Linked DNA regions of Caenorhabditis elegans. Changing the gene in region 1 together with any one later gene gives a genetic interaction. Each region holds a gene or a part of one and is shown on either strand. Other genes may lie near its edges. The genes, in order: daf-2, ifg-1, mbl-1 and exc-7.

Region 1 (4,556 bases):
AGGCAGTATTTGCCGGAGTTGGTAGAAAGATTTCTGGCAAAGTCGGCAATTTGCTGGAATTGAAATTTCCGGCAAAATCGGCAATTTGCCATTTTTCAAATTTTCGGAAAATTTGGCATTTGCCCAAATTGAAAAATTTTAAATTTTCGGCAAATCGGAAAATTGCCGGAATTGAAAATTTCCAGAAAATCGGCAAATTGCAGAAATTGAAAATTTCCGGCAAATCGGCAAATTGCGGGAATTGAAAATTTCCAGCAAATCGGCAATTTGCCGGAATTGAAAATTTCTGGCAAATCGGCAATTTGCCGGAATTAAAAATTTCCAGAAAATCGGCAAATTGCCGGAATTGAAAATTTCCAGAAAATCGGCAAATTGTCGGAATTGAAATTTCCGGCAAACTGGCAATTTCCCGAAACTGAAAATTTCCGGCAAACAGCAAAGTCGGCAATTTGCGGTTTTCCAAATTTTTGGCAAATTCTGCAAACCGGCAACTAGTCGATTTGCCGGAAAAACGGCAACTGCCGAAAGTTTCGGTAAATTGTGGGTTTGCGTAATTTAAAAAATCCCCTCAAAAAATCCGGCGAATTGATATCCGGCAAAATTGCCGGAATTGAAAATTTCCGGCAAATCGGCAAATTGCCGGAATTGAAAATTTCCAGCAAATCGGCAATTTGCCGGAATTGAAAATTTCCAGAAAATCGGCAATTTGCCAAAAATCGGCGTTCAAAAACTGACAAAAAATTCAGAATAAATTGCGATTTTTTCAAAGAAAAACCAAATTTTGACCAATAAAAAAATTCTGAACACTGTCAATTCCATATCATGTAATAAAACAACGAAAAAAAATGCATCACATGACCTAATCTTTGTCATTTTTCATGAAATCGTTGATTTTTGGTCATTTTAGAGGTGTTTTTGGTCGAAAAAATCAAAATTTTTGCCAGATTTTGAATAGATTTCATGAAAAAAAACGATTTTTATAGAGGATTTGGTGTCAAAAAATTGTGGAAATTATTAGATTTGGGGAATAAAAATCCAATTTTTTTCAGATAAAAAATTAAAATCTAAAGCGAAAAAATGGCCAAAAAATGGCCCAAAAAATCTACATTTTTGCCCATTTTTCTGGAGTTTTCCCAGAATTTTTTCGGTTTTTGGGGTTAAATTTCCGGGAAAACATAATTTTTTTAATTTTTTAATTATATTTTCGGAATTTTACCGCCAAAAACTCATTTTTAATGGCAAAAAAACATAGAAAAATGGTTCAATCAATTGAAAATTTCAATTTTGTCCAGAATTCAATTTATATTTAATTAATATCCAATTTTTCACATTTTGGTAGTTTATTTACCATTTTTTTTTTGATTTTGGCCACAAAATGTACCTAAATTAACAAAAAAAAGTTGGTAAAACTGGAGATTTTAGTGAAATCTGGGGGATTTTCCGGGATTTTTTTTTCGGTTTTTGGGGTTAAAATTCCGGAAAAAACTCAATTTTTTCAGTTTTTTATCGAATTTTCGGCATTTTAACGTCGAAAAACTCAATTTTAATGGCAAAAAAACATAGAAAAAAGAACGAAGGGTCAATTCAAATGTTTTCGCGTTTCGTTTTTTGATCTTTGAGTTGTTGTTGTTGTACCCCATCCGCCGCCGTTTTTTTTTTCAAATTTATTTTTTTCCCGCCAAAAAAACCTAAAAATCAATAATTTAAACTATAAAATAGCAAATTATTACGATTTTTAATTGAAAAATTGAGCAAAAAATTGACATTTTTTGTAAAATAAACACAAAAAAACCAATTCCCACGTGGCACAGATTGTTTGCTCATCGTTTGTCGGTGTACTTTTTGGAAAATATTTATTTTTAAGGGGGTATTTCTGATTGAAAGAGCGAAAAAAAGCGAAAAATGAGTGAAAATTTGGAAGAAATCGAAGAAAATTGGGCTAAAATTCGATTTTTTTCGCAAAAATTTGATTTTTGAGCCAATTTTTTGTAATTTTTTGTATTTTTTTTCACCAAATTTTGCTGAATTTTACTTGAAATTTTAGAATTTTGGATTATAAAATCCAAAATTTTTCGATATTTTTTGCAATTTACTGGTCAAAATTGCGGAAAAATGGTTCAGAAATTGGCGAAAATGGGAATTTTCATCAATTTTAAAGCGATTTTTGGTTATTTTTTGAGATTTTCCCTAAAAATCTCCAAAATTCTGCCTAAAACATCAGAAAATTCGTTATTTTTATTGCTAAATTGCTGCAAATGGCCCAGAGATTGACCGAAGTGTGATTTTTTAAATAAATTTTTATCAATTTTTATCAATTTTAAAGCGAAAAAACCAATTTTCACATTAATTTTGTTGGTTTTTAACGAAATTTTTGGGATTTTCTCGATTTTTTGTGTGATTTCGCTAAAAATTGTGTGTATTTTTAAAACAAAATCGCTTAAAATCGATATTTTCAAGTAATTTTTTCAATTTTTAATTGCTTTTTTGAGCAAATTTTGTGGTTTTGTCTGTTGAAATCTTTTAAAAACCTTATTTTTCTCGATTTTTTCCTAGATTTTCCACTTTTTTTCACGAAAAACTTCGAATATCCGTTATTTTTTCACAAAGGCAGCCTAAAAGTGCATTGAAAAGACCTTGAAAATGGTCAAAAATGACGTGAAAAGATCCAATTGGCACCGTGCCAAGACTATTGCAACAAATTCGGCGTAATTTGAATTGGATAAATGGAATTTTACGGGCGGAAATTGGGAAAAACTGGAAAATGACGGGAAAATCGTTCTGTGAGCGAAGAATCAGATGGTTTAGCAGATTTTTAAGGTTAAATTTGATAATTTAGACAAAAAAAAAGACTAAAATCGGCTGAGAAATGAAGAAAATAGCAAAAAATCGGTGAAAAATCAAAAAACCCGCCTGAATCTCCCTATTTTTACGATTTTTGTGGGAATTTTAGTGGAAAAAAAGAGAAAATTACTTACTTTTGTCGAAAAAATGATAAAAATCCGTGAAAAATAGCTGGAATATTGAGAAAAATCGAAGAAAAATGTGAAAAACGAAATTCAAAAATCAAAAACGAAAGCGCGGGTACGCAAACACCGCTGCACACATTCGCAGGTACAGTACCCCGGGAAAATGTTTAAAATCAGTTAAAATGTCGATTTAAAGCTTTTTTTCAATGGAAAAATACAGTTTCTACATTTCATAAATTGAAAACTTGAATTTTCAGTTCAAAACATTGCAAAAATGCACAAAAAACATCTCTAAAAATGGTGAAAACTCTAAATTGACAATGGAGCGCACTTGCTACTACCAATATTTTTTGCAAAAAAAGCGACATTTGACCGGTTTGAACTCTTTTGAACCCCACGAAATTAGGGAAAAACACCAGGAAAACAAGGCCGAAAGAAGTAAACAACATTTCCGCCATGAAAAAGATAGAAAAAGATGAAATCTGATGGTCGTTTATCATCTTTTAATGCACTTTTACTATTTCTACACAGATTTCTATAGAGAGGAGGCAATGTCATTGATAGATATCCTTATCAATTAATCCGCCGATATTATTTGGGAACATTCAAGAAACAAAGAAACTAGGAAAAATAGAGAGAAAAACAAGAATTAGAAGGTTTGGTAAAAAATTTAAAATTCGAGAATGACGTCACTACATAGCTCCTTCGTTTCTTTGCATAACTCTAATTTTTGATCAGAAAAGTGTCAGAAAAGTTTCGCGCCATTTGCGTAATTATTTTTTTTTTCTCAAAATAGCAGGAAAAAGGAGGGAAATTCGACTTTTTCTGCCAGAGGGGAAGAGATTCGAGATTCAGCTTCAATTTCCAGGTCGTATATCTAGGCACGTATCTCAGCGGGAGAAATAGTTACAAAAATGTTGTCAATGAAGTACTTGTAGAGCTCAAAATTTCCTACAATTCACTAGTGGAAAATTTTTTGCTAACACTCTTCCTCAATGAGATAAACGGCCGTAAATGAGGCTCTGCCCTTCGCGCGGTTTCAAACTCAGCACAGCTTGGCGCTTATTTCTCTGCGAGGGAGAAAGTTACAAAAAATTTGTTAACTAGCAATTTGTAGAGCTTCATATTTGCCACAATTCACTAGTGAAAAATTTTTTGCTAGCATCTTTCCTCAATGAGATAAACGGTCGTAAGTAAGGCTCTGCCGCACTGACCTTTCGCACTTTGCACAGCTTGGCGCTCATATCTCTGCGGGGAAAAAAGTTGCCAAAAAGTTGTCAACTAACAACTTGTAGAGCTTAAAATTTTCTACAGATTACTAGTTTGGAATTATTTGCTAGCACCTTTCCTCAATGAGATAAACGGTCGTAAGTAAGGCTCTGCCGCACTAAGCTCTCGCACTCACCACACTTAGACGCGTGTACCTCAGCGAAGAGGAAAGATAATAAAAAGTTGTTAACTAACAACTTGTAGAGCTTAAAATTTGCTATATTTTTGTGTGAAAACAGTTTTTCATAACTCTGCTCCACACAGATATACACACATTTAAAATTAGATTCACAAAGTCTTGCAAACCTAATTTAGCACTCC
Region 2 (6,177 bases), on another chromosome or scaffold:
GAATGAAAGAAATGGGAACTGGGAGCAAATAAACGAAACGGGAATCCAAATGAGGATATAAATATTTAATGATTTGGAGGAAAACGTGATATTTTTAGTGATCATCAGAAGAAAAGGGTAAGGTGGGTGGGAAAGGGGCTATAACGAGTTGATTTCTGCGTCTCGAAACGAAAAATGAAGAGAATCTTCACGTTTCGAGACGAGTTGTAGAATGAGCGGAAGTTTGCAGGAAAAATGATCTGAATGTCTGAAAATTGATTTACTTCAGCTAAATCATGATAATCAGTTATTCATTTTGAAACTTTTCTTGCAAACCTCTAACAAAAGAAAAACAAGCAATAATATCGAAAACCATTAATGGGATACCCAATAAGACATAAAATCGGTAGGGATGGACGCGCGGCGAAAAAACGAAAAACTTGACATGTTTAGACCGTATTATCAACAACTCGTTCTTATATAGATAATTAAAATGGGTTTTAGCACACAAAAAAGTTCTCTATAAATCTACTGTGGAGTTTGAAAATCCAAAAATACGATAAATTAGTTGCCCGTCAAATAGCTCGACAACGTTTTTCCATTTTTAAACGTCACTGCTTCCATTTCTGCTGAAAGTCCTTCTTCCATCTCAGTCTTTAACTTCATGTCCGAAAACTCCCACGAGATTCCTTCTGCAGCGCCAGTCACTTCAAGCTCAAGCTCGATCTGAAAAAAATTAAATTAAAAAAATAAACGCAATGTACTGAATCTGAGCACTAAAATTTGCAATAACTCACCAATTGCTTCAAAACTTGAACAAGAAGGTCAAATTTCTTATTTCCTTCTCCTTTGGCAGCTGAGAAAATTGGCTTCATGTCCGCTAATGAGAAAGATTCAACTTCTCCAATTTCGTCATGTGGAGCATGACTTGTGTTCACGAGAACTTCACCAGTAACGGTCCACAATTTGGGATAATCTTGCTGGAGCTCAACATCATTAGCGAATTTGCAGAAACGGGTAGCTCTGAAATAATTTGTAAAGCTCAATAAATCATAAACTCTTGCCTTACCCCTCTATAAAAGCTTGCTTCTCAGTCTTGCTGACCAATGACATCCGCAGAGCAATAGCCAACTTCTTTCGATCATCATCCTTCAAACCTTTTTCGATCACAGCTCGGATAATCATCTCATAGACTACTGTCAATGACGGCGAACCGTATTTTTCTTTTCCAACATAATCGGTGATAGAGTCAACCAATTCCTTTTGGGAGAGCTCACCACTAGACATTTCTAGAAGATCGGATTTAACGGTATTCATAATCTTGGCTCTGACAGCTTTCTCTTCTTCAGTCAGCTCATCGTCGGTCTTGTCAGTATTCGAATTTTGTGATGTGGATCGCCGCGAAGAAATTGACATTGCACTGATTTCCTTTGCAGCAGCTAAAGCGGCCTGTTTCTCGTCAACAGTCGACTTTTTGCGTTGATCATTGGAATCACGTCGCCCCCAAGCTGATTTGACTGGAACGGCAGATTCGGAAGAAGTGTTTCCTCCACCAGAAGCACCAGAATGCCACTCTTTTTTGCTCTTCCCAAGAGTATTATTATCCATCGAAGAGAGCGAGATGTTTTTGGGTTGAACACCTGGAAATTGCAATTAATTAATATTGAAGAAATATTTGTCTGAAAATACTTACTCGATGAGGCAAGTTTTGTGTTAGCTGCAGCAGCGGCTCTTTTTTGTTCAGGGTGTTGCATTCCTCGGTTCCTATCCAATGAATTCCTGGAGACTGGAACTGATTTTCTGAGAGAGTTGCTGTTTGGTCTGACACCTCCATGACGACGATCACGATCCCGATCATATTGATCACGAGCTTTCTCATTTTCAATCTTCTCTTGACGAATATCTTTGTGAATTTCATCGATTTTTTTCGGTCCAGACTCGGTAGATTTTCTTGGAATCCATTTGTCTTTGCGAAGCTCCATAAGATTCATGATCATGAAACGGATTTTGTTTGAGCAGTAAGGTTTGGCAGCTTCCAACTTCTGGAACCATTGATCAAGGAATACGGTCGTGGAATCTTTTGATTTATCCAACATCACGCCTACAGTCTCGATGAGTTGAAGACCACAGTGAATAGATTCCTCGTCGACATCCTCTTTTTTAATATCTTGGTCCTTGATCGAATTGAACAATTCGAATGTACACGTTTGGACGATTTTTGTGGATAAAAGTTGATTTCTATACAGATAACCCATAAACGTCATAACTCCGAACTTTCTCCGTCTAAATTTCTGTTTCTCCTCTGCAAGCATCAATTCCTTTTTCACTGGATCTTCTTCTTTTTCGATGATTGCCAGTTTGTCTGCATCAATGTCTTTTTTATCCTGGAATGTCATCTGCGTCCGAGTCAAAACCTTATTTCTGAAGGCTGACTTTCCGCCGGTCTGGGATAGTTCATGATTCGCCTGAGCCTTACACATTTCAGCGTACAAAGCACAGAACTTTGGCTCTTCAACTGCCTTGTCAAAGACGATTTCGACAACTTGAGCGAGCTGCGCATCGTTGGAGGATACATTGTAGGAAATGAATTCTTCGGTGAGAGGACGTTGTGATGTAGGCGTCACCTTGTTCATAAGAGACCGAACCTTCTTACAAACTTCCTGAAATTTGGTTTAACAGTTTATAGTTTTGATTAATCACGAATAACTTACAATAACCGCAGCTTCCTCGCTTGCAACAGCTTCCGCGGTTTTTTGACGGTCTGGCTTCCATGCATCTTTCGATGATGGAAGTGTAACTCTCTGAACTCGTTCAATCGAAGGTCTAACAACTGGTGGTCGCTTGTTGTGCATACGATCTCTTTGCTGCTGACCGCCACGCCCGGTTCCATCTGTGGTTGTTCTTCCACGGTATGGCTGAAAATACAATATTGTTTGAATTATGGCTTTTATTAAATAATGATAACTTACAACCTGCTGGCGGTTTCCTCCTTTGTTTGCCCAGTTTGGTGTGAAATTAGGCTTCTTATTATCAGAAACTCGCATCGTTTTGATATCCAATCCGAAATCAGCTAGCTGAGCTGGTGACAGTGGACATGGGGTCCGAGAGAAAACTTTTTCAATTTCGCGAATAGTAACCATGAAATCTCTTCCAAAAGTTCCATCCGAGATGACAGCACTTCCGGCCAGGATAAGCTCCTCGATTCTTTTCTCTAAAGCTTCCTCGCGAAGTTTTTTCTTTTCAATCTCTTCGGCTTCTTTCTGTGCTTTTTCGATTTCCAGCTCCTCAGGAGTCTTTTCTGTAGAAGAGTCAGCAACGTCTGGCGTACTTTCTCTTTCATCATTCTCCTCAAATTTATCATCATCAGTTTCCTCTTTTGATTCTTCCTTTGTCAGTGTTGGAGTAACTCTGACATCAGCTACAGTAGATGCTGATTCTGCAGTTCCACTGGCGGGCGTAGTGGTGGTTGTGTCTGATGCATGGGGAGATGAAACAGGCGTCACAAGGGTTTCTGCTTGTTTTACTTCGTAATCAGCCTTTGCTGGTGCTTCTGGAGTTTTCGGAACGGACGGTACAACTTGTGGAGCTATGGATGCTGCTGGAGGTGTCTGTCCCAGGGCTGGCGGTGGTACGCTAAAATTGGGAAGTACAGCAGCTTGCACCGCAGCTGGGACCGCAGCTGGGACCGCAGGAGGATTATCATGTCGTCTGTCTTCATGATGTAGTTCATTTTTGACCTGATTCAAGAATTCTAAAGTAATGTTTTGTTTTTTCTTTTCTTCCTCTGGGGCAATCGGGGCTGCTGGAGCCGCTGGCGCTGGTGCAGCTGGTGCAAGATGAGGCGTCACTTCAATTGCCTTTTTCGTAGTTGGATCGACAATTTCCAGTGCTTTCCTTTGCCGTTTAGGTTCTTGTGGAGCTGTATGAGTCATCTGTTGTTGTGCTGGCTGAGCTGGTTGATATGGCATTTCTGGGTGGTATTGCTGAGGAGCTTGGTAGCCTTGGTACTGTTGATTGTACATCTGTGGTTGATGACCATAGTCCGGTCGCTGATATCCACCACTGAAAATGATATTCATGAAAAACTGGTAGGTAACAGAAGTAAGCGTTTGGGATACTCATATTTTTAAGAAAATTTATTTTTCAGTGTGAGTAAAATTTTGGAAATGATAAGCTAAATATATTTAATATTTAAAAAAAAACTTACTATTGTTGCTGGTGCTGTGGTGCTTGTGGCGGATAATAGTGATTTGTTTGTGGTTGGTTGTATTGTTGTTGGCCATATTGTGGATACGCCGACTGGTTCATTGGCATTCTTTGATAGCTGAAAAAGAACTTTAGCCATGGAAAATATTTTCAACTTCTTACTTTGAGTTCACTGGGCCAGATGTGTTAACAAATGGCATCACGAATTGTTGGGATGAATCCTGCATAGGAACTGCATTGTGATCTGAATGAAAACCTTGAAGGAATTAGAAAACTGACAAAAACCGTGAGCACTTACCTTGATTCGGCTTCCCTCTCCCAGGCCCCCTACTAACAGCGTTTGACATAATCTTTCAGTTTGAGGAAGTCACTGAAAAGAGTTTTAATAAAATAAAAAACGATAGAGAATAATTAGAGAAGGGGAAATTGAGGGAGGAGGAATAACGTTATTTTTCAAAATAAGAGCAGAGTGAAGGTAAAAGTGTTTTCTCTACAGATAGCAAGAACAGAAAAAGTGCAGAACGCAGCGTTTAGAATATCGATTATTTAAACTGGTGATGTCAACAATAAAAAATGACTGCACATCGTCTCCTTCATACTCAAGAGCAGAAGATGTGCATGTATCGACAGAATTTAAAGAACGTGCACACCGAGAGAAATTACATGGATCGATGAAAACTATAAAATACAATCGCATAGAAGTGGTTTTACGTTTAGTCCGTGTGAATCTGTAAGAACTTAACAAAAATTATGAGTAAATTCCAAAGATATCGCCAGTCAGAACAGAAAGTAAACAAAGTCTTAACCAATTTCGCAACCGGAAATCAATAAATTTCGAAATGCCTGATTTCAAAACATTGAAGAAATAAATATTGATCGAAATTTAAAATTTTGAACCTATGAAACAAAAATCAAGTTTAAAAAACAACAAAACGTTTGTTTTTTTCCGAAAAATCGATATAAATTTAGGCTGAGCCAAGAGACAATGGGTCTCGTAGCGACAAGTTGCCTGCCATAGTTCCAACTCGCGTAAATCGACACAACTCTCCTCTCTTTGCACGCTATTTCTCCCTCATCACATCGCTTTTCAAGTATCTACCAAAGAAATCCGGTTTCCTCTTTGGAAATCAGATTTTATATTAAAAAAAAACAAATAAACAAACCGTTACGGAAGATGGCGTTAGAAATCGACGGAAATGAGCAGGAAACCGAGAAATATTGTAAATTCTGCTTCGGAACGGAAAGTGATAATGCGTTAAGCTTCGTTCATCCGTGTCGATGTCGAGGATCTATTCACGTGAGATTTCATATTCGAAAAATGTTTTTTATGCTTATTGAATAGAAAAATTAAATTTATGAGTGTTAAATTAAAAAAGAGATACATGAATCAATATGCTTATCGAATCAAAATAAATATTGCGAAAATTGATATTAAAATTAACTAGGAAAGTTCAGGAACCTTGAAAAATTTTTGTTATAACCTTGAGAAACTGTTCGATTTTCGCGAATAATTCTAGTTTTTCACTCCAACTTTTTTTTCAGTGGGTTCATCATCAATGCCTGGCCATGTGGTTTTCGAAAGCGAATGCTGTACAACAAGTTATGTGTATTCAGTGCCAGTACGTTAATTAAAGTTTATTGAAGAAAATTTCTGAATATTCCAATTTCCAGAACACGATATCAAAAACAATTAACACTCAAATCATGGAAATCCTGGACAATTCCTCGCTTTGGAATCGATAAGTTTGGCTTGCTGGAAATTACTGTTGATTTATGGATAACATGGAGAACTGTATCCGGTTTCGTTGGAATGATGAACGGAACAAAGTAAGAATATCTGAAAAAAAAACTATCATGGGGTTTTACAAATTTGAACATTGTTTTATTTTTCTCCTCTCGTATTATTAGATGGGAATAGAAAATACAACTGTAACAAAATCCAGAAATGTTCATAAAATGAAACTGAAATAATTGATTAAATGAATTCGAAGT
Region 3 (4,617 bases), on another chromosome or scaffold:
ATTTAAAAATACTACTCAGTTTTAGCAAAAATGCCTTAAATTAACAGACCAACAGGCAAGCTAATGACTGGAATAATTTAGAGCATCATGATAAACACTTTATTTAAGAAATACACTTAAAATAAAAAAAAACCGCGTGGCGTGTACTGCAGAAAACCTAATATTCTTTTTCTCGTCCACCCACGGAGAAAAGACAAAATTCGGGACACCAACCAATATCAGACCGCCGACATCGTACGGGTTCCGCGCGCCGCAGCGTTTAACTCGCTGTGGTCATGGCGAGCTGTCACGTTGCGAGTTAAACATAGCGGCGGGCGGAACCCGTGATATGTCGGCGGCCTGATATTGGTTGGGGCCCGAATTTTGTCTTTTCTCCGTGGGTGGACGAGAAAAAGAATATTAGGTTTTCTGCAGTACACGCCACGCAGTTTTTTATTTTGAGTGTAATTTTTTTCAAGGAAAAAAATATTTTATTTTTTGAATTTAATTTTTTTTCTTAACTTTTCTGCATTGTTAATTCGTGGTTATCGTGAATTGCAGACTATTTTCGGTACTTTAAAACAAGTTTTTCATTTACGCTACTCCACCTTCAACTTCATCATCATTCCATAATAGCTGTGTTATGCGCTGATTAATTCCTTGTGTCTATTCTGAAGTCACGTTTCAATACAACGTGTGAGCAAGTAGCGCACACACGTTGTCAAGTCATAAATCAGCCGAAGACAGGCATACACTTCCCCCAGTTGGGAAACATCAGGTTTTTGGTTTTTAAATTGTGTACTTTTGTTGTGAAGTTTCGCATTTGTTCTGTATAAAAACAGGAACCATTGATTTGAAAAATTAATTCGAGTTTCAAAAAATTATTTAATTTTCGGTCTTTGTGTATGCTGAGAAATTAACTTTCGAATTCATTTTTTTAACGGCAAATTTTTTTGCAGAATTTTGCAGGCAAACATCATTTTTATTTTTTTATTTTTCATTCAAAATTGTAAGAATGCTCAGAAAGCATTCTTACAATCTCTAATATATATATCAGTTCTATTAGTATAGAATACACTATTACACATCTTGCAAAATAAAAACATCAATCTGTTTAAAGTTTTCAAATATGTAGTTTTTTTTTGGGAAATAACCTTTTTAAATGGCCCTTCAACAAATGCTTCACTAAAAATGAAATCAATTTTCTTGTGGTAGCCTATGTATTTCAAAGATTATCTTACAAACATTATAAGTTTCTTCCAAAAGTCTGAATATCTTTAAAAATTAGTCGTTGTTAAAAATCTCAAGTTTTCAAAAACTTACCCAATTTCCGCCAAAAAAACCCATTTAATCTTGTTAGTAGTTTTAAGTGTTCTCAACTCTTGAAAATTCCATTATCATTTTTCATCGTCTACTCCCAACGTCCCATTATTCTCGTTGCCTCCCTCCTACCCTACATACCGCTAAAACTTATCACATATCTATCACATAAGAGTTTACAACGCAAAGAGTGCTTTTTTCACGTCCCCCAACGAGAAAATATAATCACGAGCATTTTTTCGAGCAACTCCACAAATCCATTGGTTATTGTTGGCTGCTGATGACTAATCAATCTTCCTCTCAATTTCAGCAATGTCTCGTAGATCCTTAAAAAGACGTATCAGGCGACAAAATAAGAAGGGGACGGTGTTCAAGAAGGCTCGAATCGACCAAGAAACTGTGAGTGAATCACTTTTTTAGTCAAACATACGTGAAAGGTTGCGGCACAAGTGTACGTTCTGACAGAGCACCAGGTGTTGCGCACATGTAGAAAAGAAAAAAGGGCAATCGAAACATATAGTTTTGTTTAATTTTGAAGAATGATTGTCTTTCCTGGTGTAACAGCTAAATGTCAAAAAAAGTTTACATCAGTACTTTTGAAACTATTATCAGTGGAAAAAAATGTTGAAACTACTGAAATGTTGGCAAAAATAGCCAATTATCATAGAAAAACAATGTTTTATTTGAGAATGATTTATTGACAGTCAAAAAATGGCTATTACAGAAAAGTTTGAGATTTTTTGAGAAAACTTTCACATGTTTGAATCCGCATATTCGAATCCCTACCGTATTTAAATATTGATTTGCAACAATTTCCGCAAAAAAAAAACAAAATTCGTAGGAATTTTTTTTCTAAAAATTCTTCTTCGACTTCTAAAAATTGATAGAAGATAAGTTTCCAACATTTTTAGACTCGAAATAAAAAATTTTATTTAAAAATAGTTTTGCTACATATTTAGTAACTTTTGGATTACAGGAATGGTTTTTAATCATTTTCAACTTGCCGTACTTCATCTATTATTTTGATTTTAGTATTTAATTTTTTGATACTAAAGTTACTAAGAAGTAACTGCACGAATTGGTACTATGAATATGCACTTGCCTTTGTATCGCTTTCTATTATTAGGTTTAAAGGCAAAATTTTGTCAGTAAGGAAAATTAATTAAACTGCTATAATGCTAAAATAAAAAAAAAAACCTTTGAAAACCTTTGAAAACATATTCTCGAGCCTGATTTTTGGTCCGAAAATTTTGAAAGTTTGACTGTTAACAATCACTACTTTTTAAATGTGTGATTGACTTATTTCAACAAATTTTCTGATCTTGCTATTGAGCAACACTATGAATGACAATTTTATGCATGACTTTTATGCGTTTTATTAGAAAAGTACTTCACTATTTTTCAGAGCAATTTTCAGACAATTTTCAATTATTAAAAACAGTATCAGCACTTTCAAAATATCCCATACATCTTTACATATTTAAAACGCTATTTTTTTATCTCTTTCTCTCTGCATTTACCTGAAATTTTTCACAGGAGAAAAATGAAAGAAAATGTTTTGCTTTGACGTCGAGCACGACATTTTTTTGTCTGTCCACAAACGTAACATTCCAACAATACAAACTGTACTTTTTTTTCCAATATACATCTGTCGGTACCCCTCAACTTTCTTTCTTTGATATATAGTGCATCGTTAGTCATTCTAATTTTGTGTACGAAAAGCTAGTTTTTTATTCATTTGTTAAATTAAGTTTGTAACGGGTGCGTCTTTTCTTTGGCTAAAATAGTTGACAATGTGTTTTTATAATAACTGTTTAAAAACGGAAACCTATTAATTTGCCAGTTAAAAAAATTTTGCTACCATATGTGCTCTATTAGTATTGCACCCCATTGTTTAACATTGACAGCTTATATCTCAGCTATCGTTTGTTCTATTCAAAATTTGTTAACTAACAGAATAATTGTTTGTTCTTTTTCTTTCGTAGTTAATAAATTATTGATATCTTTAAAATGAACCGAGATATAAAGTAATGATTCAAAAGAGTAGAGTCAATCCATGGTCCAAAATTTGTATTTCTTCTAAATTAGCATTTATACAAGAATCAATGGACTGTTAAGCTAGTGTTTTTCAACTGATCATGAAAGTGCCACGAAAAACTGTTCACTGCGTCTCCGCAAGTTAGACTTTTAGCCAACGCCCGGTAAATTGACTCGAAAACCTTAAGAAACTGTTTTAGCAAAACTTTTAACAAAAAGTTTTTGTACTGTTTTCTATAAATTCATAAATAATTGGATTTGGTCCGTAGAGCGAATTTGCGCTGACATAGTGCATAACTTTCTGTGATGCGCAGCTGAAGTTAATTTTGGTCCGTACTAATGCATTAAGAGAATCTACGACAAAACTTGAAAACGAACATGAAAACTTTTGGAATCATTTTGAAAAAGGTTTTTGAACTTGCTCTTTCCTTTTTGCGACATTGTGTTGCTGGACGATTTCTGAAAGCTACTCGATCATTTAAAATTTTTTAGCCAAATCCAGTTTAGTTTACCATCAAAGAATTGCAATTTGAGTCATAATGATCCTTTCATAATCCTACCACAAAATTTTCTGCAACAGCTTAGCAAAACAATGAGTGCATAATTAGAAAGTGGAAGTGGTGTTGGAAACTCTCTAGAGACGTCTCTCAAAACCTTTTTTCACGACTCACTCCTTTTGTGAACGAGAAAAAAAATGACGGGGCAACCGAATGAGAAGATATTCCGTTCCTCGTTTCGTTTCGCCATTTCAATGTTTCTAGTCAAATGTGTTGTATTCTTGTTCTACCTATCTTCCTGTCTGCTGTCACATACACAAATCACCTTCCTCTTTCCCCTCAAATGAATATACAAATCAGTAATACTATATATGCGTACTGTATATGAATCAATTCCCCCCCCCCCCCCCCCCTATTATGCATTCCATTGTCCTCGTTTGATTTCATTTGAGTGGCACGATCAAAAACCGTTTTCCATTTTTCACATCGGTGAAATGGTATGGAAACAGGTACTGATTTTGATTTTTGTTCCAGTTTTAGATTCTTAGATAGGATAGGTTTTATTTTGAAGATTACTGTAGTGTCGATTCTTATCTTTATTAACTGCCGATTCCAGATCAAATGATCTTGATGGGGGGGGGGGGGGGGGTAAATGAAAAACTGAATGTCTTTGTTTCAGCGAAATATAATTTTGTGAAAAACATGAAATAGAATTCATTAGGCGCTAAACTAAAAGTTTTGGTTTTACTTTTTTACCAGTTAAAAATCATGACCTTAATAGAAA
Region 4 (7,744 bases), on another chromosome or scaffold:
TTCAAAAGTTATTCCAACGGAAAAATTTATTTGATGAATAGGAAGGGAATGTAAGTTAACAGGTAAGTTTGCTCTTTTTTCTTTTATAAAATTCGTTTGTTATTTTGACTTTTGAAAATTAAAATTAGGAAATTAAAAAAAAGTTATTTAGAAATTAACATATCTCAAAAGTGAAAATAGTAATTAGGTGTTTGCAACATCTTAAAAAGCACATTTCACAATTAATAAACTTTCAATTAAAATTGCAATAAAATTACGGGGGAAATTTTCAAAATGTCAATTTAAAATAATAATTTAATTTTCAGGTCCGTTGTTTTTCATTCAGGTTCAATCGGTTAAATATCAATTCCAGTTTTTAACATCTCATATCATCGATTGGTACAAGTTCTTCCAATCAGAAAATCGAGTTCAGTTTTAATCATCAGCTTTGTTCTTCTTTTTTCTATAAAATAAATTATTTATCACTGAAATTGGTATACAATTTTTATTATACACATTTTAGTTTTAATATTTCAAAAAATCTTTGTAAAAGAAAAACAAGGAACCCAGTATAAAAATCAGAAAACTGTACGAAATACTGAAAAGTGACGGAGGATTTGGCATATTTTAGGTAAAATTGATAAAAGTTTTGAAGATGTTAAAGCTGATTCAAGGTTTTGGGACAGGGGTGGGCAGAAGCTCATTATTCTCAAGGGGCGTGGCTTATTTCGTTACCGGAATTCGATTGGTTTTGCTCACAGTTGCTCATGAAAGGGGATGGAACACAATGGGGGGGGGGGGGGGGTGACTAGTAGCACACAAAAAGTGACTGGAATTTCAGAGGGGGAAAATCACAATTTCTTTGGTTGGGGAAGAAGAAGAAAATGAAAAGAGAATGGGAGACAAGTGACTGGAATGATTGAAATTAGAATATTTTTGCAAAAAAGTTTAAGCTCGATATGGAGTTGATGACTTGAAAACTACTTGAAGCGTCTTTCCAGCCAAATTTGTGCCATTCAGAGAAAGCATTGCATTATAGGCTTCTGTGTAGTTGCTCATCGATACAAATGCATATCCTTTGCACTGTTGTGTCAGGTCTCGTAGAATCTCAAATATTTCAAGTAAAAAATTTTCCATTTAAAATTTCTTGCTTACCTTAACATTAACAATTGCTCCAAACTGTGAGAATAACTGCCATAACAGTGTATCATCAGTATCTGATGAAAGATTATATACGAAAAGGCAATATCCAGCAGTATCTGATGGCGGTAACGTGGCAGCAACTGAAGCTGACAATGCAGATAACTGAGCATGAGCTGCTAATCCAGCAACTTGTCCATTTGTTGCCGGAGGGCTCGCTGTTTGTGCAGCATGTTGTTGAGCAACTGCGTGTTGTTGTTGCTGATGCGCTATTAATGAAGCTGTGAAATCAGGTACGGCTGTTGCTGTGGCAAAAGGGTTCAGGCCAGCAAGAGCATTCAACTGAGACATCTGAAGAAGCGCAGAAGTTGTCAAATAGTCAGCAGGAAGTGTAGCGGTTGGCTGGGATACTGCAGTGATGGCGCCCATTGGGGAATATCTGAAATATTGGAAATTGGTCTTGAAAATGTAAAAAGAAGAATATACAAACTTGAAAATACAATTATTATCAATCAAGATTTCTTCGGGCTTACCTGTACTTTGAAGTAATTGGAGCATGGTGCATCGGTCCGATTCCTCCAGCAGTTGCTCTCAGCGTCGGTGCTCCAAGAATTGTGCTCAATGGTACCAGTGTTGTGGCGGCTTGCTGTACGGCTTCCAGATCACTCAGCAGTCCTTTCGGATTGTTACTTGCTGGATTATTTGCGAATTTCACTGTGATTTGCTCTGAACATCCTGATGGAATACTTCCATTTAGTGTTTTAATTGCAACATCAGCTTCGTCTTTTTTGTCGAAACGTACAAATCCAACGCCTTTTGAGAGTCCTGAAATAGCTCTAATAAAAAATGAAACAAATTATATTCCGTAAACAATCAACTATATTTTTCTTAATTTTGAAAATTTACACATTTCACATAATTTTAAAAACACACCAGTTACATTATCTGACAATATTCGAGATGTGATAATCTGTCCAAATGGCCGAAAAATCGATTCCAATTCGTGCAGAGTCATCGATTTTGGAATTCCAGAAACATATAAGTTTGAACCTTTGATTTGATCATTTGATGGACGGGCATATGATACCTGAAAATTTCAAGTTATAGATTACAATTTTAATATTCTAAAATTTAACTTTGTATTTTTACCAGTGAATGTTTTTCTTTTACATATATGAAGAATGCGAATTTTCAAGTAAAAATATAATTAAACATTTTCTAAGCGTTTTGTGCACATCTATTGCTCCTATTAGTGATTGTTTGAAAGACGTGAGACGTTTAACGGACGTTTAGACACACATTTAGAAGCTAAAATCATTATAAATCGGGAAAGGGGTTTCGCGAAATTAAAGTTGAAATTAAATTTTGAAATTAAAATATTAAAATAAAAAGATTGAAAACTTAAAACAAAAATTGCACAACAGGAGCAAGGGGGTGTTTTCTAATAGTCAAAGGAACACCCAAACAATTGAAAAATTAAAAACTTTTTTTGAAAATAAAAAAGAGTGAAAGTAAAGTAAAAGACAAGTAGCATGTAAATCAACTAAAAATAATAATATTTTTCCGAAAAAAAAAAAAAAAAGTTGACACCTTGATCGTCTTATTCTGCAATCGTAGGCCATTGAATGAGCTGACTGCACGAAGAGCATCCTCTTCTCGGACGTAATTAACAAAACCGTAACCAAGGGACTGTCCTGAAATGAAAAAACACCAAATGCCGAAGAGAGAAGAGAGAGAAAGAGTGTGAAAATATAACAAAAGAACAATTATTTATAGGTTACGGGTTTAGATTTTCTGATTGTATTTGTAGAGCTCTCTTTCTGAAAAATAATCTCCCTACATCTTTTTGCTACAAACAGTTTGCTGCTTATTCTAAATTAGTTCACATGATTTAATGGTATGAAACTATTCCAAAAAAGTATTTAGATATCACAACTTTAGAATTTTAACAATCCCTATTCAAAAATGTTTAGCACAAAAAGTGAATGTGAATTCTTGGTGTACAATTGTGTGTGTGTGTGAGTGATTTTGAAAAAAATAATGAAAAGTTGAAACGAATATCAGAACATCACGGAAAAAAGTAATAACCGAAAAATGAAAAACTTTAGGGGGAGTAGGGCGGGCGGGGCAGCAGCAATCACACACGCACACATGTACAGATTTACAAAAATCGATCCGAAAGAAGAAAATAAAATTATTTGTGATCTATCAGAAAAGAGGCGTCAAAATCTAGTTTCATGCTAAACTTTTTCGGCGAGACACAAAAAACGGTTAGAGCAACTCAATTCGTGGTTGGGAATCAAAAATCAGTCAGAAATAAAAATGATAAGGCAAGGGGTGATCTAGCTAGATAATGTTTGGATTTCGAAAATATATAAGTTTAAAATAAAATAATGAATAATATAGAAGTTCCTCCTCACCTGTTACTTTATCTCTGACCAATTTACAAGATTCAATTTCTCCGATCGATGTGAAAAGGGACCGAACTTCTTCTTGTGTCATTCCTTGTGGCAGATAATTGATAATTAAATTTGTTTTTGATTCTCCAATATCCACATTTGGCGCGGAGCAGTATCGTTGTGTACTTGTGTAGGTTGTCTGCAAAAAATATAAATTTAAAATTTAAAAGCGATTTTTGTATAATGGTCCCGGTTTTTCGAATGAAAATCTACGATTTTCAGATGTAAAAAATTCTGAACTCCCTAGATAGAAGTCCCGTTTTTGTCAATTTACATAAATAATACACCTCGTATATTTTCGGGTGCCTAGCATTGGTGAGAAGCGTCGGTAACCCCGGAAATTGTTCATTTTTTTCATTTGGGAATAAATAAATTATTATGTTTTTCTGCCATCTTTGTCCAATCTGACTATATATTCCATTTTTGGAGGTTACATCTGACCCAAAAATATTTCCCCTATGATTTCCAATCTTTCATTCCACCGGGAGATCTCAATTTTCAATTTCAATTCTTTTCTCGCGCGCGGGAGGGCTCTTCGGTACAAGTAACCGGAGAATTCATCCATTTCGCTGTCCATTATTTGGCCACGTCTCAAATTTCCTGTGCGTGAGCAAGTCTATATGGAAGAGATGGAGCCCCCCGCATGTTCTTCCCACCTCCTGGTGTGCTCACTGGAAGAGCAACAATACCCATGGGTATTTGAGAGGGAATAATGTATGAAATGAAATATATGCAAACGTTTTTTTCTACGCTGTTGGAATGAATAGACTTTAAGAGTTTTTTATAGGATCTTTGATTAAAGAGTTCCATATGCGTTTTATAGAAATAAAATTTTGAACCGTCCGGTATTGAGGAGGAACGTAATTTAGCAAAACTGTGATATAAATTCTAGTAGATTTCGAATTGAATTTTCACAAAATTTTAAAAGTTTTTAAATTTTAATTTATAGGTCTTCTATCAATTTTTTGAAGAAACACTTCAAAAAAACTGAAGAAAATCGCTGAGTTTTAGAATATTCCATATATATAGTACCTCTAGAAATTTAAATTAAAAAAAAAACTTCGTTTCTACCAATTTCATTAGTCATATATTGCACAATTATGATATTGTTAATTCAGCTATATTTTTTCAATAATCAAAAAACTTTTTAGAAAAAAAGAAAACAATTTTCAACAGGAAATCTAAAAATCTAGTATTCTCTTGTTATTTTTCAATTTTTCTCTCCATATTTTAATTTTCATGTCATTTCCACTCCCATCCACCAACACCACAACACATCATCATAATATAGGTGGATGAGCACGCAGGAATCTGAGCTTCTGAGCTCTTTCACAAAACAAATATTTTTATTTTTGGTCCTTATTCCTCCCTCATTCCTCCCTCAAGGCGTAATGAATGGGACGTATTTTCGAAAAGGAGTGGTTCGGAAAGGCGGAGAAAAGAGAAGAAGAGTAAGGAAGAAGGCTTCTCGGATTTTGAAAAATTGGCATTTGGGAATTGGGAAGCTTTCTTGAAAGAATGACACGTCAAATGCACACGCATGTATACCAAGTTTGGACTCGGGCTCACTGACGGATTGGACATTGGGGAAGAAACAATATTCAGATTTATGGTTATTACTAGAATTCAAGGCTCAACAATTTGTTTAGCTTTTAGATCTGAACGGAGCCTAAGCATCCAGTTTACCTAGTCCGAATTTTAAACAACTGTCATGATCAGGTTCTAAAAGCTTTTTTTAAACTTTTAATTTAACTAATAAAAAAACCATTCACAGTTAGAACCTGTAACAAACTTACAGCTCTTCAAAATTACCGCAGTTTACTGTTCTACTTTTAAAATGTGTATCTTTGCTATGGTTCTATATTTTATTAGTTGAATTTTTGTTGATAAAATCTTAGGCAACCAAAATATGAAATGTTACAGTCGAGTAGATTTCTGGACTTTTTGTAGACCTCAATGTTCAAAGATTTTGAAAACCGTATTTATTTTTGTTTTTTTTTTCTACTGCTTCTGGACTTTCATATAGATCTTTCCTAATAAAAATTGAAAAAAAAAATTACCTGAACGGGACTCGTCGGAACATTGTTGTTATTCGGTGTTAGCAACGCTTCCATCGTCATTTTGAAGACCGAATTTTGGAATTCAAAAATTCGAATTTCCTATCCAAAAATGCGTCGTTCGTTGTCTTCTGAAGTTGACACACCACCACTTCTTCCACTTGGTCTGTCAGGAAACAAAAGAGGGCTCTTTTCAAAAAGAAAGAGCTCCGGTTGTTGTGAGAGCAAAGAGAAGGAAGAGGAAAAGGGGCTCAGGGGGGCGGGGGGCCCGTCGCGAGGATATATGTAGAAATATGCACAAATGGGCGTGGCCTATTTATATTTTGTGTATGTTTGTGTGCCGCGGCTCCCCGTATATGCTCCGTTCGTTTTGGGCCGGCCGAGACTAGGGGAGATGGATCTGTAATTTCATAGGTTTGATAATTAATTTAAAAAAACATATCAGAGAGCAAGAAAAATAGAAGTGAAATAAAAGTAAATGGAAAACGTTTAATATCAGTGAAACTTTACAGAACTAGTTGTACACCATGATTTTTCACAATCCTACTCCACTCAACTGAAGCTGCAGAATTATGGCAGCGCACAGCATGACATACCTATACTCTGCCACTCAATTCCCTGTTGTTTTCAATTCTAATTAGCTTTGTTATTGGTTTACATAGACGCATGAATATATCTCATTGCCAATGAAAAGAACATTTATTGTTTTTATTATTGCTGGTATGATGCTTAGTTTCTAAATACCTGTGTATGTGTGTAACAGGTAAAATGGGAACTGTACGGATTATGAGGTAGGTAAAGTTTTAAAAAGGCAGATAAGAAGCCGAAAGACTAGGAAACAAGAACTACTAGAAATTGCAGGAAACTTTCCACAATCTATATAAAGGAATTCAGTTGTATAAGATTTTGGATCATGTGCTCAGACGGAAATGAAGGAAACAGGTGAACTTGACACATTATATGGATACGTATACACGCCAATTACGGCTTGAATAAGTGTATAGTGAGGGTCCAGACATTACAAGAATACAGTGTGAAAGCTGAATTTCATAATTTCCAACATCATAGAAAAAAGAATAAGAGCGCATCATGATTGAGGATTTTTGTGAGGGCAGGTGTGGAAACAATGGTTGATCAAACATGACTGACCTGGTTAGTGAAGGATATAGGGGAAAAGGATTGAAGATGACACGTATTTGAATAGGTGTTCGGTAAGAGGGAATACGTGAAGCCCGGTGGAAATTTTGTGGCTCTGGGAAGTTTGAATTTTTAAAGAAACGTAGGGGCTACGAAAGAACGAGTTAAATAAACCTATAGAATACCATCAACCATTCTACAGTAACCCTGTTACTTGCTCCGATTCCAGTTTTCTTGAACTGGAAACACTCCATCGCAAGTTTGCACCATCTAGTCAAGAAAATATCCAAATGCTTCTGCAATTTTGCAACAAAAAAAAAGGATTCCGCTGATCTTGAGAATATCCCAAAACCTGTCTAAGCACAAAACTTTGGCAATTGGTCACTATGGAATGCTAGGAAACAATAAAAAAAATCGACATCATTGTCATCTCAAAATAACTACCATAGAAACGGTGATCGACGATGAAACGCACTCTTCAATTGTGGTTTTCCATTAGTCCTCTTCTTCACCGCCTCTCGTCCCACCCCATACAAATACACACGACACGCACAGTTGAATGAACAACAAAACCTGAATAGGTAGAGAGGGGGACTCAATTATGTGTTAGTTAGGTAGAGGGGGGTGGCCCCCATATTGTTGTGTGAAAAGTGGTGCAGAGGAGAGGGCGGCCGGATGAGAGTACGTACCCCCGCGTCGGCGAGATTCATAATTGCTCAGGCCCTTTTACAGGATACAGTATTTCATGCCTTCGATCCGTTCCCAATAATTAGGTATGGCCCTTCCATTTGGACTTTTGGTTTGAGATAAATGACTACTAAGTACTTCAAACTACATTTAACCCTTGCGATTTTGGACTTTTCGGGAATTTCGGATTTAGGGGTTTTCGATTTCACAAATCACGGATTCAAAGACTGTAAAGTTCAAAGCACGGTCAATGGAGGATATTTTCGAAAGTTTACTGCAAAACTT

What was found.
Region 2: of daf-2 (region 1) and ifg-1, changing one enhances a phenotype caused by changing the other (phenotypic enhancement), as found in Caenorhabditis elegans (one study listed by BioGRID).
Region 3: of daf-2 (region 1) and mbl-1, changing one suppresses a phenotype caused by changing the other (phenotypic suppression), as found in Caenorhabditis elegans (one study listed by BioGRID).
Region 4: of daf-2 (region 1) and exc-7, changing one suppresses a phenotype caused by changing the other (phenotypic suppression), as found in Caenorhabditis elegans (one study listed by BioGRID).

What each region holds. Positions count from the first base shown.
Region 1 is NC_003281.10:3,037,807-3,042,362, forward strand, and holds the start of daf-2 (Insulin-like receptor subunit beta), read right to left. Parts: upstream 3,041-4,556; 5' UTR 2,976-3,040; intron 1-2,975. UniProt on the Caenorhabditis elegans protein: Insulin receptor-like tyrosine kinase which regulates metabolism, controls longevity and prevents developmental arrest at the dauer stage.
Region 2 is NC_003280.10:8,215,609-8,221,785, reverse strand, and holds ifg-1 (MIF4G domain-containing protein), read right to left. Parts: upstream 4,533-6,177; coding exon 4,484-4,532; intron 4,442-4,483; coding exon 4,348-4,441; intron 4,304-4,347; coding exon 4,187-4,303; intron 4,042-4,186; coding exon 2,949-4,041; intron 2,895-2,948; coding exon 2,691-2,894; intron 2,640-2,690; coding exon 1,673-2,639; intron 1,620-1,672; coding exon 1,049-1,619; intron 1,003-1,048; coding exon 777-1,002; intron 706-776; coding exon 544-705; downstream 1-543. Other genes in the region: M110.3 (E3 ubiquitin-protein ligase MARCHF5), read left to right, coding at 5,360-5,482, 5,728-5,804, 5,857-6,012.
Region 3 is NC_003284.9:16,976,997-16,981,613, forward strand, and holds the start of mbl-1 (Muscleblind-like protein), read left to right. Parts: upstream 1-1,611; coding exon 1,612-1,698; intron 1,699-4,617. UniProt on the Caenorhabditis elegans protein: Binds to RNA with repeat sequences 5'-CUG-3' and 5'-CCUG-3'.
Region 4 is NC_003280.10:9,574,262-9,582,005, reverse strand, and holds exc-7 (RRM domain-containing protein), read right to left. Parts: upstream 6,036-7,744; 5' UTR 5,699-6,035; coding exon 5,639-5,698; intron 3,718-5,638; coding exon 3,540-3,717; intron 2,814-3,539; coding exon 2,710-2,813; intron 2,207-2,709; coding exon 2,053-2,206; intron 1,945-2,052; coding exon 1,653-1,944; intron 1,559-1,652; coding exon 1,135-1,558; intron 1,087-1,134; coding exon 928-1,086; 3' UTR 471-927; downstream 1-470. Other genes in the region: Membrane-associated tyrosine- and threonine-specific cdc2-inhibitory kinase wee-1.1, read left to right, coding at 1-41.